Ovis aries: one gene and its partners. The protein of the gene in region 3 interacts with the protein of the main gene of each other region in a pairwise test. Links are inferred from orthologs where the notes say so. Each region holds a gene or a part of one and is shown on either strand. Other genes may lie near its edges.

Region 1 (4,354 bases), on a different chromosome or scaffold from region 3:
TGGAGTGGGTAGCCTATTCCTTCTCCAGCAGTCCTTCCCAACCCAGGGATTGAATCCAGGTCTTCCGCATTGCAGGCAGATTCTTTACAAACTGAACCCCCAGGGAAGCCCAAACCACTATATTAAAAAAAATATTGCAATGGTCTTTTTAAAATACTGCTTAGCTGTAATCTAGCCGCATGTCTAAGTCAGTTTCTTAAGTTTTTAGGTAACAGATTACACTTTCAGTGAGGTAGCAGTTCCTTATTATATACATCTTATTTGACTATAATGCTTAGCAGCTGAAAGTCCCACGCTCAGAAATATCTCTTCTACTCTACACATTTCACCAAATTAATTTGATTAACAAACTCTTTTAAAATGGTTTTCTTAAGAAACTTAAGGTCCATGGGTAGAACAACATAGGAGTGGGGGATGATGGTAGCAGAAAAACTCAAGATTAAAAAACGAATTATGTGGGACTTACACAAAGTACACGTAAATCTTGTAACAAAAATGTTAATATGTTTGTAGAAACTGGTGTTCTCCTTTACAACGCCAGCTTTGGGTTGCTTATCCATTTACTCCAAAGAAGCTGCCCTTCTTCTCTTCCTGGCGCCTTGGTGGCACAATCAACCCCCTTTCACTTACAGACGGAGCCGAAAGGGGGAAATGAGAGAGCTCCATTTTCTCAAACTTTTCTCGGGCACTTAGCATGTGCACTTAGCCTGTGCTCTGGGCTCAAACGAGTGACTGGGTGGACAAGTAGCTACACTACAGTGTGACTCAAGTTCAGGACAAAAGAGGAACTGATTAACTCGATCCGCACAAGTGTCGGAAACGTCTTCACAGAGGAGACCACTTCTCAAGAATTTCGAGGCTGCGGGCAGGGAGGACAGGAGGGAACCACAAGCTGGGGGAGGGGCAAAGCAATTTCCTTGACAGGGGAACACAGTGTCAGGACCAAGTGGCCAAGGGTCGGCCTCGGGAAGCAACTTGGTGGAGCATCTTGCATCGTAAGAGACTGGTTACACGGCTAGGTGAACTTAACTCGGGAACTCAAAGCCCCCTTCGGTGACGCCCCACGGCAGGGAACCATCGGGTTCCAAGGGCCGCGGGACCCGCGAACCGGGCAGCCCCGGTGTAAGCCGCGATCCGGGGGAGCCGCTCACGTCCCTTCCCCGGCGCCGGACGCGCGCGCGGCTCGGAGTCGCCGTGAGGGGTTGGCGCTGACTGCGTCCTTGGGTACCGAGCCTGGCCGGGCGGGCGCCTCCCGGGAGAGGACAGTGTCACCCGGGCGCCCGCAGAGGGCCGGCCACCGGGACCGCGGCGGTTATTCCCGACATGCTCCTCTCGGGGAGGATTTCAAACCTTCGGCCACAGCCAACTCCCCTCCCTCGGCCCCGTCGGGCCCCAGCAACAGGCGGTGGCCCGCGTATCATTGGCCGGGTCGCGCGAAAGCGTGTTTTGATTGGCCGCAGCGCCTCCCGGCCCCGCTTCAGCGCTCGCCGCCGCCTCCATTTTGTCGGTAGAGACAGGAGGAGGAGGTCGGTTGAGACGTTGAGGTGGCCAGCCGCTCGCTCGTCGGTGCTCGTGGGCTTCGCCCGTTCCGTGCCTCGTCTCTCCCTGGAAGGGGAGGGGGGCTTCGAAGCCGAGCAGAAGCCGCCGCCGCCGCAGTCCCGGGCTTGAAGTCGGTGAGTGGCGGCGGCGCGACGGGTGCGGCCATGTTGGCGGCGGCGCTCCCTATTGTTGGGGGAAGGAGGCGAGATCCGAGGCTGGGGGGGCGCGGGCGGCCCGGAGGAGCGGGTTCCCGGGCCGGGCTCGAGGGACGCGGAGCGCCTGGGAAGCCCAACCTCGTTGCGGAAGACCCGAACTTTCCGGGCTCGCTTTGGGAATGACTCAGGGTCTGGAAACTTAAATTTCTTTAGGGCGTTGAAACAGTCTGGAAGGGCCTCTCACCCTTTCGATAAGAGCTTCTTGCTTGGTAACTTGGCTTCTTGGACTATCAAGTGGAATCGCAGATGTTTAATGTTTATAATAGTGATTGTTTTATGTATTTAAGATGGGAAACTGCTTGTTATGGCTTGTGAAACTTATTTTAAAACGGGGAGGAGTCAAGAGTTCATAACCAAAGGAAGCGCTGCGTGACGTAAACATGTTGGGAGAGGAGGCTCTGCTAAAACAGATACGTGATGTGTCTAAAGATTGTAAAATTCTGGTGGGACTTTAAAACACGGTCTTTAGGAAACAAATTTCTTAGCACATTTCTTAGCATGACTGTAGAGGCTAACGTTTCCATGGTTTTACAACATTTTGGTCACTAAATCCATGTGAGACATTATTTTCTGCCTTTTTGTTAAGTAGCCATTCTTTAAATTTTTTCTGGAGTAAATATAAACGATCACTTTCTCTGTTTTTTTAATTGAAATAATGAAGAAATCGTTGCTTTTGTAGCTAAGACTTCTCTCAAACTTGTGTGCTGAGGAGACTCAGATGTTGGCCTCAGCTCCTAGGCTGAACTCAGCAGATCGGCCCATGAAAACTTCTGTATTGAGACAAAGGAAAGGATCTGTCAGAAAGCAACATCTATTATCCTGGGCGTGGCAGCAAGGAAGAGGACAGGTAGTGGAAATCCTGCAATCGGAAAAGCAGACTGAAAGGTATTAAAAACTTACGGTTGTAATGGGGCAGACATTTTATGATGGACTCATTCTAAACCAGGATCTTCCCTGGTGGCTCAGACGGTAAAGCGTCTGCCTACAATGCTGGAGACCTGGGTTCAATCCCTAGGTCGGGAAGGTCTCCTGGAGAAGGAAATGGCAACCCATTCCAGTATTCTAGCCTGGAAAATCCCATGGACGGAGCAACCTGGTTAGGCTACAGTCCATGGGGTCACAAAGAGTCAGACACGACTGAGCGACTTCACTCACTCATTCTAAACTAGAGCTTCCCAGGGGACTCCATGATAAAGAATCCACCCGCCAATGCAGGAGGCCCGGGTTAGATCCCTGGGTCAGGAAGATCGCCTGGTGGAGGGAATGGAAACCCACTCCAGTGTTCTTTGCTGGAGAATTCCATGGACCGACAAGCCTGGCAGGCTTTTCCCATGGGATTGGAAAAGGTCGGATATGACTGAGCATGCACACGGGCACATCCTAAACAAATTGTTTTTAAATGCAGTATTATTTAGATTTGTTGGTAGACTCATTTTTTTCTTAGGAAGGTAATAAAGGCTGTACAAGTGTGAACGTATAGTAAAGCTAAAGCAGCTGAATAGCACATACGTGAGTCTTCTTCGAGATATTTGGAGTTGCAAATTGGGGCCACTGAAGTTTTGTACTGGAATTTCACTCAGTATTTTGTTTCCACTCACAGGTGACAAAGAAGCTGAAGATGGGTGGTGGAGAGAGGTATAACATTCCAGCCCCTCAAACTAGAAATGTTAGTAAGAACCAACAACAGCTTAGTAGACAGAAGACCAAGGATCAGAATTCCCAGATGAAGATTGTTCACAAGAAAAAGGAAAGAGGACATACTTATAATTCGTCATCAGCTGCATGGCAGGCCATGCAAAATGGGGGGAAGAACAAAAATTTTCCAAACAATCAAAACTGGAACTCTAGCTTATCAAGTCCCACCTTACTTTTTAAGTCTCAAACTAATCAGAACTATGCCGGGGCCAAGTTTAGTGAGCCACCATCACCAAGTGTTCTTCCTAAACCACCAAGCCACTGGGTTCCTGTCTCCTTTAATCCTTCTGATAAAGAAATAATGACATTTCAACTTAAAACCTTACTTAAAGTACAGGTATAAAATGAGATAAAGTACTAACATTTAAGCTTAGTCATATTTAAGGATAACTGGCAATTGTTTCAGACCAAATTCACTAGGGAATTAATCTGTAAAACTGATTAACATAGAAAATATAATTAGACTTCATCTTGTTTTATGTGCACTGTGATGGTAGGAATCAGTACAGTTTAAAATAACTGAATTATGGATAATTGTATTTGATCTCTTCACTAGTATTCTCAATTGAGTAACCATATAAGTGAAACCATTCAAGTTTAGATTTGGGGAATGGTAAAGGAATCAACTTTTTATATTGCTTGTTGGGGGAAAATACTGGAGATTATCATTTCATGGGTCAGCAGATTGACTTATTAAGATATGGTAAATCTGATTATAATCATCCAGTTAAAGACATACAGGGGTTGAAAACTATTTGAATCTTTGAGACGTTATTGTCCTAGAGACACCTGAATCAGTACACCTAAACCAGTAGTATGACAACCTGATGCACTGCCTAAAGAAAATGTGAAAAAAAATTTTTTTAAGAGAATAGTATTTTAATGAACTGTATGGTGGTGAATGT
Region 2 (4,275 bases), on a different chromosome or scaffold from region 3:
GTTCCACAAAGTTTTCCTTGGGGCTCTTTCATGCCAGGCCCTGTGCTGGGTGCTAGAAACTTGAGGGACATCAGACTTGGACTTGAACCTCAAGGAGCCCCCATTCCACATTATTCAAGTCTCACCACAATCTGTTCCAGAGGTTCTCGACTGGGGCGGATTCTGTCCCCAAAGGGACATCTGACAATGTCTGGAGACATCTTTGTTTTTATTGTTTATCACACTGGGGAGGGAGGAGACCACTGGCATTGGGGGGGAAGGAGCCAAGGATGCTACTGAACTCCTTACAACACACAGGAATGCCCCCCACCCCTCCACAACACACATACAATAATCATCTGGCCCAAAGGGTCAACAGTGCTGAGGTTGAGAAACCCTGCTCTGCCCTGACCATGAATTCTAACAACCATAAGGGGGGAAAGTGAATGTGCAGTGCCTGGTCTAGCACGTGAAGCCTGAAACAAACCAAGTGTTCAACAAACATTTGCTGCAGATAACAGCAGCCCACGAATCCGGTTGTTTAATGGACTCTGACCAGACCCTGAGCTGAACACAGTATGAAGATTAGCTTCTGTGACCCTTCTCTGAGTGCTGATATGGACTACCGTTATCCCTCTGCAGACCAAGAAACCAAAACACAAAAGAACAGCAAAAGCTGAGGGAGCGCTTAATCGTGTCAGGCACTGTTCTCAACAGTCATCAACTCGTTTGATTCCCAAAGTCCCCTATAGTGTCACCGGAACTAGATCTCCACTGAGCACCATCTCCTGGTATTCATGCCCCCTCCAACACTGAACAGAACTGACTTGTATACTAAACAGAATGTGACACAAATGATGGTGTGACTTCTAAGATTTGATTATAAAAATCTTTGTAGTCTCCTTCTGCTCTTTCTGTTGGATTGCTCAGGCTGAGGAAGGCCAACTGCCATGTTGGGAGGACACTCAAGCAGCCCCATGGAGAGATATCTTAGGAATAACAGCTAGCAAGGAACAGCTAGCAAGTTGGCCTCTGGCCAACAGCCACAGGGTTAGCCACCTTGGAAATGGATCCTCTGGTCCCGATCCAACAGTTGGATGACTGCGGTCCCAGCTCATCTGACTGAAATCCCACAAGAGACCGTGAGTGAGAACCATCCATCAAAGCCACCCCTGAATTCCTTACTTAAGGAAACAAGCCACTAAATTAATTTTTTTTTTTTTTTTTGGCTGTGCCCCTCAGCATGTGGGATCTTAGTTTCCCCACCAAGGATCAGACCCATGTCCCTTGCAGTGGAAGCACAGAGTCCCAACTGCTGGACCATCAGAGAATTTCCAAGTCACTAAGCTTTAATCTGTTTTCCCAACACTGGATAAGTAACAGGATGACTATAAGTACTATTACCGTTCCCCTTTTAGAGATGAGTTCTATTAGACACAGAGGACAGGGACTCGTGGGTCTGGCAGTCCTGTTGTGGTAGAGCTGAAAAGTGGCCCCAGGCTGTCTGCACCTGCAGTGTGAACTATCAACATTGACTCCAAAGCACAGAGGCTTAGCCCCACCCCTCTTGCGCTCAAGCTTCAGTGCCCCTAGTAGGAAAAAGAAGGGCTAGAGTAGACAAGAGAAGCAACAGACAGAAAGGAGAATAATATATGAGGAGTAGGACGGGTGCTGGACTTCCCCAGGCCTCCTTGACCAGGAAATTCTTTCTACTTCCAAGCCAGACAGCAACACCAGCTGAGCATACAGAACCGACCACTGAAGTGACCTAGGGACAAAACCACAACCCCCATCGCAGCCCTTTTTAGCAACCAATGTGAGGGGCTGGATCCGGCAGCACCATTCCTCTGCCGTCCCTCCCAGGTTCCCCCAACCCTTCCGGAAGCCGAGAAAAGAGCTCACTTAATGCCATCGAGCCAGGTGACAAACTCATAGGCGCTGCTGGTGGGAGCGTGACATTGTACGTAGGACTCTGGAGCGCAGTCCACCGTGTTGAACACCACGAGGCTGTACTGGGTGCCCCCATACTGGGAGGGGAGGACAGGAGAACTTTTCATCTGGGACCCAGCTCCTTTTTCCCTCAGGGGAATCGGAGCTCCCAGCCCCTCCTCCCTCGGACCCGGGGGTCCGGACCCCGGTACTCCCACCTCAGACCCAGGACCCGAGCCCTTCCCGCCTCGGACCCAAGACCTGAGCCTCCTCCCCTCTCGGACCCATTAGTCCGGACCCCAGTCCCTCCTCCCTCAGCCCCAGAACCCGAGCCCCATTCTCCTGGAAACCAGAGTCCAGACCCCAGCTCCTCCCCGCTCGGACCCGCAAATCCCGACCCCAGCCCCTCGGACCCAGGTGTCCAAACCCCAGCCCCTCCCGCCTCCGACCCCGGAGTCCGGACCCGAGCCCTCCCACCTCGGGCCCAGGGTTCAGGTACCGCCCCCTCCTCCCGCAGACCCAGTCCGGACTCCCATCTTCCCTCAAACTCGAGAGTTCCAAGACTCACGTCTCCGCCGAAGTCCGTCTCGGCAGGAGGGCCGCCATTAAAATACCTGTGAGGGTCGGAAGTGAAAGGTCGGGGTGAGGAGAGAGTGTGGAAAACTAAACTCGGAGGGCGGGGTTGGGGCCGCGGAAACGGCACTCACTCTATGGCCGGGAGCAGGTAGTGCTTGCGGAGCCCCTCGAAGTAGGGCCCCAGATTGGCCGTGCCCTCAATTACAAACACCACGTCAGCCACGAGGCCCCCGGCGCGGGCCGGGCCCTCCGACCCGGGGACCATGCCCCGCGCCGCAGATGCCGCCGTCGCCGCCACCGCCGCCACCGCCGCTGCCGCCGCCGCCTCAGACACCGCGGGCTGAGCGGAAGTGCGCCTGCGCCGCGCGCGCCCCCGCGCGGGACGGCCTCTCGGCGCTGGCGGCGCGCTGGCGGCCATGTTTGTGCGGGGCGCCCGGGGCGGGTGGGTTTATCTCCATCCTCCTTCGCTCCCAGTGTGTGCAAGACTCAAAAAGGACCTAGAGAACTCCTTCGGGGACCAGAGGTGGAAGCTTGAATTATTTGCAGAACTTTCGAGGGCGAAATATACTGAAAGCGGCGCGTCAGACGCCATTTTTGAGGGGGGGGCGACCTTTCCGACACCGGTTTCAATGGAAGGGCCGGGAGACCTGGTTGCTATGCAACGCATACGCTGCCCTTGTTTTCCTAAAAAGACAGATTAGGTTTCTAGTTAAGTTCTTACTGGTTCTTGGGGGATGGGGGTGGGTGGGTCGTGTGAAGGGTCCAATCACAACGTCTAAAACGGGGTTACTAGGCAACGCTTTAAGGTGGCAATCAACTCTGAAAGGAGTGCAGCTGTTTTTTCCCCACTAAAAGAAGCCGAACTCTAACCCGAGTGGAGGTTGCTAAGCAACACCTGATAGTTGTTTTCTGGGAGAAGAGCCAGAAACTGGCCTAGAACATGAATACATTCCAGGTGGATTAAAAATGTAAATATAACAAATGAAACCATAACACTGTATAATCCTGAAGACTGGGGAAGAGTTTCTTATCATTACAGCAAAGCCAGAGCACGGAAAATATTGAGCTGTTTGTCCGCAGAAGACTTCATAAACCAAGCTGAAAACGATACGGTAAACTGCGGAAGTCACTGTAACATGTGTTGACAGAAATTTACTACCCAAATACGTATTACTGATCAATACAAACTTAGGAAAACAGAAATACTTTTTTTTTTTAATTGGGGAGGAAACTAAGCAGGTTTTTCCTGTACGCAAAAACATACTGAAAGTCGCTCATATGCACAAGTTAGTAAGTGCTAACACAGGGTCCAATGATAAGTCAGTTTATCTTTGTCATGTTAATTAATGCTGGAAAAATAAGTCCATGACGGTGGGAAGGTTTGGGTGAAATGAGCAGGCTCAGACGTGATCTAGTGGAGATGAAAACCAAAACAGCTTGCTCCAATGCAGTTTGTCAATATATTTCAAGGTAAAAGGGTGCATTGCTTTGCACTCAGCAGTATCACTGTTTTGTCTCATGTACTTTATTGATCCTTTTATTTTCTTTGCTGAACGCTTGTAAAGCAAATCCCAACATCGTATCATTTTACCTCTACCTGCTGGATAGGCATCTCCCCAAAGTTGCAGGTAACCACTATGCCATTAACATCTCTAACAAAATTCTTACTTCTTGGTATTGTCGAACACTTAAATCCATAATCAAATTTTCCCAGTTCTCACAAAATGTCTTTTTACAATTGTTTTATTTGCATCAAGATCCAACAATGACTGAACCTGTGTTTAGACATCT
Region 3 (4,120 bases):
CTGCCAATGCAGGAGATATTAAGAGATGCGGGTTCAATCCCTGAGCCAGGAAGATCCCTGAGGAAAGGCATGGCAACCTACTCAAATATTCTTGCCTGGAGAATCCCATGGACAGAGGAGCCTGGTGGGCCACAGTCCATAGAGTCTCATAGAGTTGGACACAACTGAAGCAACTTAGCATGCACACAGGGATAACGCAAGCCTCGGCATCCTGACTCTGTCTCAGAGTGAGAAAGAAAAAAAATTTACACTCCTTAGAAAGAATCATAAACTCACTGATGTGCAAGGTTTTGTCAGGGTCCAGTGGAAATAAACCAGAGGGAGTCAACTGAATTGGTGCCTAGAAGGCAAGATCACCTTCCTCACCATCACCTTCATCAAAAGCCACCTGCTAAGACTTCCCTATAGCTCAAATGGTAAAGAATCTTCCTACAGTGCAGGAGACCAGGGTTCAGTCCCTGCATTGGGAAGATCCTCTGGAGAAGGGTATGGCAATCCACTCCAATATTCTTGCCTGGAGAATCCCATGGACAGAGGAGCCTGGCGGGCTACAGTCCATGGGGTCACAAAGTGTCGGATACGATTGAGCAACTAACACATACAAGTACCTTGCTCTAAAACTAGCAGTGGATTACACTCTGTGCAGGGAGCGCAACAGTGGGATTAAGGACAGACACAGCCATGATGGACATGAATGGGCAGGACCATTTCTCAACCGCTATGAGGGAAACTTAAGCTATGAATATTTTACAACCAATATCGATAATTTACTCAGAGCTGGGGGTCACTCTATTCTTGCCTACTAATCTTTGTACAACCTGCAACCATGAACAAGTTCTGTTCTCTGTTTTGGGCAAACTAAACCCTAGGCACCAGGCCCTGAGTCTTGGCGGTTGTACTGATCAACCGGACTAAATGAATATGGACAAATACTGAGAGAAGCCACAGAAAACCAGATGAGAATGTTTAGCAGAACTGCAGTGCAAATATTTACATCGTATAGAGGTTGAGAGTGGGTGTTAGCAGAAAGGAAGAGATTCGATAACTCTAAATCCTAAGCTGAATGAAAGATACAGAGTTAATTGAAATGAAAGATAACTGTTTGACTTCGTTCTTGCTGCAATTTTGAGAACATAAGCTTTAATCCCTTTCCTCAACTGTCATTGCCATAAAACAAAACAAATATCTCCAAGAGTCTAAGAAAAAATATCCAGCTAGGAAATAAGGCACTTACATTCATATTCAAAATTTTTGCTTTTTTTCCCTCCATGTTGTTGTCTCTAAGGATTATGTTATTTTTATTCCCAATTTATTTGAAACCTAATACCCTGTACAGTGTTATATCTAACCACTAGAATAGTATAGTCACGTGCATTAAATCCTAGTGGGCAATCTTCATAGGATGTTAACAAAATTGGAGCAAACATTTGCTTTGGAGAAATAGGAAAGGCTTATATAGAGTAGAAACAGGTTCTGAAGCCTACATCTCATAAGTATTCATCTAATTTCATTTCGTCTCTCGGGGTATTTTAAGATAAAATTCAAACACTGCAACCTCATATTCATAAATTCACTTTCAACATTAATATATACACCATATATACATCATAGAAGTGAGATAAACAAACATATATGTGTGTGTGTGTGTGTGTGTGTGTGTGTGTATAATATTCAAAACCAGGTGAGTTTCCCAGCAATCTTGTGCATGGAGTTACTTTGCAAGTCTGTTATATCTGGCCCAGAAAGCCAATAAAAAATCTGGCTTCTTTGAACAGAAATCAGTGCCATGATCCCAAGTCCTGATAAAGCTCAATCCTTACGTTAAGATTTTTTTTTTTTTTTTGATTATGTTGGCTACTATGGGCATGTCTGAGAGAGCGAAGACTGGTTACCCTCTTAGCACAGCACAGAACTTAGAACGTACTGCGCATTTCCTGAACCCTGTGGCATGCCTCTAACCAAAATGAAAGTACGCTGCCCTGTCTTTTGTGACTGCCACATCATTATTTAAGTAGCACTCTGCGGTGCGGGGAGACACTTATGTACACACCAACCCCCTGTAAAAAGTGTCCAGGAGCTTTCTTCCACAGGAGAGCAAACTGAGGCAGAAAGACCCAAGAGAACTTGCCCTGAAATCACAGGGCAATTTAAAGACAGGGTGGCTGACTTTTGGACTGCTAGATGGCGTAGCTTTTCAGAAAACTTGACTGCCTTCAGGAAACAAGTAATGGCTTATTCAGATTGCTCAGTTTCAACTCACAGAAGTTACGGCACCCAGAGATGATGAAAACAGGTAGTGTGTTCATGCTAGCCCGTGATCAGTCCAATTAATAATTCTTGAAATTCTGCCACATTTCAATAATCCAAAACCTCCTAGCTAGAGCTGGATCAAATAAATAGGCGTTATCTGGAGCAAGCAGACAGCCTGTCAGTGCAGTGCTAAGCAAAGGGTAGTCGGGTTGCCCTCTGACTCAGCTGAATATTATTTGAAAAGTGGATTTTTCACTGTACCAAGTTTAGACTTAACATTTCAACGTCATACTAATGCTTGCCAGCAACTTTGCAAAATATCCCTGGAGCATTAAGAGAAAAATGAACATCTTTTCACAGGAGAGGGAAGCTGTAAAGTTACATCACATTTGTAAATAGTAGCACATATAACAAAAAGAAAAAAGTATATATATACATATATGCTGAGAAGAAGAAATAGGAGTACCTGCTTGAGGAGGAGAATGTCACTGAAAGACTGTCTTCTTACGCTATAGAAGGGCAAGGGAAAGGAACATTAACCTTTCGAGTCCGTTAAGGAACTTCTGAGCATGGAGCCTTTATTTTCAGTTTTGGTGAAATCCGTTCTGAGGCAGTAGACAAGCGGCTGTTATGACCATGAAATTAGGAAATGCAGAAAACTCAAAACTAAAGAACTAGCACCACCATTTGACTAGGAGTGGAAAAGTCTTCTGTACAAAATAGAGGAGGGGGTGGCCTTTCTTTCTCCACACCAGGCCTGATTCTCACTGTCCTACCACTTGGGTCAAGACAGACATTTCACAAGGGTATAAGTCATCTGTTAATCTGCCTGAATATTTTTTCTTTTTTTATGAATACCAGCTCACTTTCTCTTCACTACTAATAAAGGTTAAAGTCTAGACAGGCATTTGGGGTTGGAAAAATAATAATCAAACATTCACTGGGCACATAAATTTTGTTACAGCTCAGAGCAGGAATAAGGATGCATGTTCAGTGAGCATTTTGGTAACTTTCTCATTCAACATTGGCTTGACAGCTTTGCACTGCTGGTCCCTGATCAGTTAGGTTCTTGACTTCAGTGTCCTGCTGAGGTTAACTTCTCTCTGCCTCTGAAGCCGTTCCTCTGCCATCTGATCGTCCCATGGCCCATCTGGCTTTTCGTCCAGCCATTTAAGAGTTTGAGGGATGTTTACTTTTTCATTTGCCCACGTAATATGTATTTTAAAGGATCTTTTAAAAGCACGTTAGCTTTTTCTACTCAAATCTGAAGGAGGCTGGTTTTCTGCAAGTGAGGATGGTGGAGGACAGGTAAGAGAGGTCTGTCTTGTTCCTAGGCCTTCTAGAATCCCCAAGTGCATGTTGACATCTGTAGGGCAACCCATGCATCTCAAAATCAGCTTAGGAAAGAAAATCAAAATCCTCATAGCCCATGCTTGAAAACATTTTGAAAATAAAGGCTCTTAATGGTCATCCTCATGTGGTTCAGTGGTAAAGAATCTGCCTGCCAATGCAGGAGTTTGATCCCTGGATCAGGAAGATCCCCTGGAGAGGGATATGGAAACCCATTCCAGTATTCTTACCTGGTAAATCCCATGGACAGAGGAGTCTGGTGGGCTACTATCCATGGGGTCACAAAAAAATCAGACATGACTGAATACACACACATGCACACACAGGATTGCCTTCCATCTTCTCTACACTTGCGAGTTAGCCTGTAAAGTAATTTGAATATGCAAATTGTCTGAGATTAATTTCCACATAGAGCAGGACAGTTCAGTTCAGTTCAGTCGCTCAGTCATGTCCGATTCTTTGCGACCCCATGGACTGCAGCATGCCAGGCTTCCGTGTCCATCACCAACTCCCAGAATTT
Region 4 (3,562 bases), on a different chromosome or scaffold from region 3:
AAGCTGAAAATTAATGAACTTCCACATCATGAACGCTTGGGTAATGCAAATGGACGCCAGAACAGCAATTCTGAGAATACAAAGAAATAAACAGAAAATTAATGTGTACCCAAGCAATGCCATTGAATAAAGTAGTCTCTCTTGCTTTGACAGTATTAACTTAGCACTAAATTCCCACTATATTGACAAGGATTATATTAATGAATAATTACCCCACTAATAACCCCAGGTGGCTTAGTGGTAAAGAATCCACCTGCCAATGAAGGAGATACAAGAGATCCAGGTTCGATCCCTGGGTTGGGAAGATCCCTTGGAGGAGGGCATGGCAACTCACTTCAGTATTCTTGCCTGGAGAATGCCATGGACAGAGGAGCCTGGCTAGCTATAGTCTACAGGGTCACAAAGAGTTGGACATGACTAAAGTGACTGAGCACAGTAATTAGCCCCTGAAGTTAAATAAATGCTTTTGTAATTTTTTTTCAAACTTTTTATTGGGGTATAGCCAATTAAAATGTGGTAGTTTCAGGTGAACAGAAAAGGGACACAGTCATACATATACATGTATCCATTCTCCCTCAAATCCTTCTCCCAAGCCAGGCTGGCACAGAACATTAAGCAGAGTTCCCTGTGCTATACAGTAGGCCCTTGTTGGTTATCCATTTAAAATACAGCAGAGTGTACAATGCCCATCCCCAACTCCCTAATTATCCCCTCCCCATGGTAACCATAAGTTCCTTTTCTAAGTCTGTGAGTCTCTATTTTGTAAGTTTATTTGTATCTAAATGCTTTAGTATTGATACTTTAATTTATACATGAAATTACAATAGGTATGAAATCAAATCAAATGAGTATTTTCCCCTACCTCTCATAATTATACCTTTATATTTTAGACAATTCATATTTTAAATTGATAATACATACTACATTGTAGGGCAAGGTAAGAAAAATGTTAAATCAACCCTACCTAACAGCTAACACATTGAAGTTTCCAGTACTGAAATCCAGCTTCTGGTTCTCTGCTCTTGCCAGGCCAAAGCCAACAGTGAGTACCGAGAGAATTAAAGTCAGAAGTCTTCCCAAAACAAACAGAACTGCCCACAGAGAAAATCTGTGAAAAAAATGTCAAAGTCAGATTCACAAAATTGCAAAGATAAGATTCGAGTAGAAATCAGATTCCTGTTAGGTAAATGTGTATTAAAACAGCATTTCTTACAGTTCTGCAAAAAGGATTCTGAAATAAAATGCTAGGGAAATGCTTCATATTATATCACATTCTTGGAGATTGTATAACATATGAGCATATTTCAGGTTCTTGAAGTTCAGTTAAAGAAATATTTGATTTTTTTCCCATTTAGCTGATTTTCTGTGTATGCGTTTGACAACTATTAATGATTCTCACAACTACTGGTATATAGAACAATTCTGGAAAAGGCTGAATAAAAACAAAGGCCATGTATTCAATTCTCATGAGAGGCCTCGCTTCACTTTTTCTCCCTGCAAGGCTCTTTACAATACATATTACTTCAATGCTATCCAAGTTTAATTTTCCCATCAAAATATTTTTGTATCTTTAAGGTTCTATAATCTACTATTTCAATTTCTTCTGAAAGCTCACTTTTCCTCATTATTCCTTCTCCAAAAGAAGAATGTGCACTAAACAAGATAGGAAAAGTTGTGTGAGAAAAGCAAACCCCCAACCTTCAAAACTGCAAGTTCCAATATACTATCTCTCAAGCTAAGAAAGACTATTTTAGAGTACAAAATACCAACTTCAATTGTTAAAAAGTGTCATTTTATTTAAAGTAGCTTCTAAAGCAACATTATTGCCCATAGCATGGACCTTGGCAATAGCATGGTCCTTTGCAACACAGGCACTGACTTTACACAAGAAACAGAATGGTTGAAAGACTCACCCTTTCTGATACTTTTCATCACTAAAGTAAAATAGGCGGGAAATGTGGAAAAGAAACTCAACAAAATAGTGTAGCACCAAAAGCACAAGTCCTAGATGATTCAAGCTGTTAAAAGAACACATTTAAAATGAAAAGATTAATTACGAATTAAGACAGAGTACCCACTCCAGTGTTCTTGCCTGGAGAATCCCAGGGACGGGGGAGCCTGGTGGGCTGCCATCTATGGGGTCGCACAGAGTCGGACACGACTGAAGTGACTTAGCAGCAGCAGCAGCAGCAGCAGCATATTATCTGCCCAGTCCACAAGCACACCCAAGAAAAATCCCAACTCACTTTAAAAGATAAGCTCCAGCAATGTGAAAGAGGTAAAGGCCGATGTAGACGAGCTGACGAGGAATATCTTCCTGTAAACAGAAAATTGCACAACAGGTTAAAACTGGGGGAAGTAGTTGTTTGGAGAAGTAGTGTGAAAATGTACTGTCACAGAAGACCTGAAGGGCACTCTGCCCGGCACCCACTCCAACTGGCCAGTCCTTTACCCTCTCTTGGCTTCATCTACTCATCTGGAAATGTGAATAACACCTGGGTTTCCTTGAATCAGATGAATTCCAAATCCCTTTTAGTACTGAGCGGTTCTTTTTATAATAAATATTAGATGACACAATCTTAATAACCATTATGTCCTTCTAATATTAAAACTACTATGTTTATACCAGCAGAGATTCTTTTGTTTACCCAAATAGTATTTATGTTTTTTAGTCCCTTTCATTTCACTGTCAGTCAAGTCATTAACACCAAAGGTTAAAATTTATCTTCTCACTTAGGATACCACCTACTTGTATATTCTTTCTCCTCTTAATAACCCTGTAAGTCAGGTATTCAGACTTCACTTTTGCTTTCCCCTCACCACCAGCCCCCCATAGTTCTTAGTGACTTGGTTATCTTAGAAATAGTGGTTTTCAAAGATGTTTTAAGTCAAGTGACTCATAAAATTAATTTGGGGGTCACCCTAACATCTTTTGAAATATGAAATATAATGTTTAAAAAGGCTAGAGTGTACAGCATATTATATTGTTTCATGAAAGCTTTATTCCAGATTTTACACACACGGAGAAGGCAACGGCACCCCACTCCAGTACTCTTGCCTGGAAAGTCCCATGGATGGAGGAGCCTGGTGGGCTACAGTCCATGGGGTCGCTAAGAGTCGGACACGACTGAGAGACTTCACTTTCACTTTTCACTTTCATGCATTGCAGAAGGAAATGGCAACCCACTCCAGTGTTCTTGCCTTGAGAATCCCAGGCACGGGGGGAGCCTGGTGGGCTGTCGTCTATGGGGTGGCACAGAGTCGGACACGACTGAAGTAGCAGCAGCAGCAGTACACACACACACAGAATTATAATGTAAACTCTATAGTTTCTCACCTTAGGTTACAGTCAAAAATGTTTGCAAAAAATGAACAGCAGGCCCTATAAACACTCGTTAATTTAGGAAATGCCTGTACCACTCATTCCTACTCTGTTTTTTGGCGATTTACCACATATATGGTTCTACTAGCCTGGCTAGTACTATTCATGTACTGCAGCTCTAATTAAAATGATTACAATATGGTTGATATCAGCAAACTGAGCACCATTTGCCTGGAACCT

The links.
Region 1: the proteins of ESR1 (region 3) and PNRC2 interact in a two-hybrid assay, tested with the Homo sapiens proteins (2 studies listed by BioGRID and IntAct). The link is inferred for Ovis aries from reciprocal best matches to the Homo sapiens genes ESR1 and PNRC2.
Region 2: the proteins of ESR1 (region 3) and MED25 interact in a two-hybrid assay, tested with the Homo sapiens proteins (2 studies listed by BioGRID). The link is inferred for Ovis aries from reciprocal best matches to the Homo sapiens genes ESR1 and MED25.
Region 4: the proteins of ESR1 (region 3) and TRAM1 interact in a two-hybrid assay, tested with the Homo sapiens proteins (2 studies listed by BioGRID). The link is inferred for Ovis aries from reciprocal best matches to the Homo sapiens genes ESR1 and TRAM1.

What each region holds. Positions count from the first base shown.
Region 1 is NC_056055.1:242,693,122-242,697,475, reverse strand, and holds the start of PNRC2 (proline-rich nuclear receptor coactivator 2), read left to right. Parts: upstream 1-1,503; 5' UTR 1,504-1,673; intron 1,674-2,433; 5' UTR 2,434-2,639; intron 2,640-3,354; 5' UTR 3,355-3,372; coding exon 3,373-3,792; 3' UTR 3,793-4,354. UniProt on the Homo sapiens protein: Involved in nonsense-mediated mRNA decay (NMD) by acting as a bridge between the mRNA decapping complex and the NMD machinery. May act by targeting the NMD machinery to the P-body and recruiting the decapping machinery to aberrant mRNAs.
Region 2 is NC_056067.1:55,910,264-55,914,538, reverse strand, and holds the start of MED25 (mediator of RNA polymerase II transcription subunit 25), read right to left. Parts: upstream 2,845-4,275; 5' UTR 2,750-2,844; coding exon 2,616-2,749; intron 2,523-2,615; coding exon 2,477-2,522; intron 2,007-2,476; coding exon 1,882-2,006; intron 1-1,881. UniProt on the Homo sapiens protein: Component of the Mediator complex, a coactivator involved in the regulated transcription of nearly all RNA polymerase II-dependent genes.
Region 3 is NC_056061.1:76,487,625-76,491,744, reverse strand, and holds the start of ESR1 (estrogen receptor), read right to left. Parts: upstream 2,816-4,120; 5' UTR 2,717-2,815; intron 1-2,716.
Region 4 is NC_056062.1:47,245,938-47,249,499, forward strand, and holds part of TRAM1 (translocating chain-associated membrane protein 1), read right to left. Parts: intron 2,318-3,562; coding exon 2,247-2,317; intron 2,019-2,246; coding exon 1,914-2,018; intron 1,109-1,913; coding exon 965-1,108; intron 71-964; coding exon 1-70. UniProt on the Homo sapiens protein: Involved in the translocation of nascent protein chains into or through the endoplasmic reticulum (ER) membrane by facilitating the proper chain positioning at the SEC61 channel.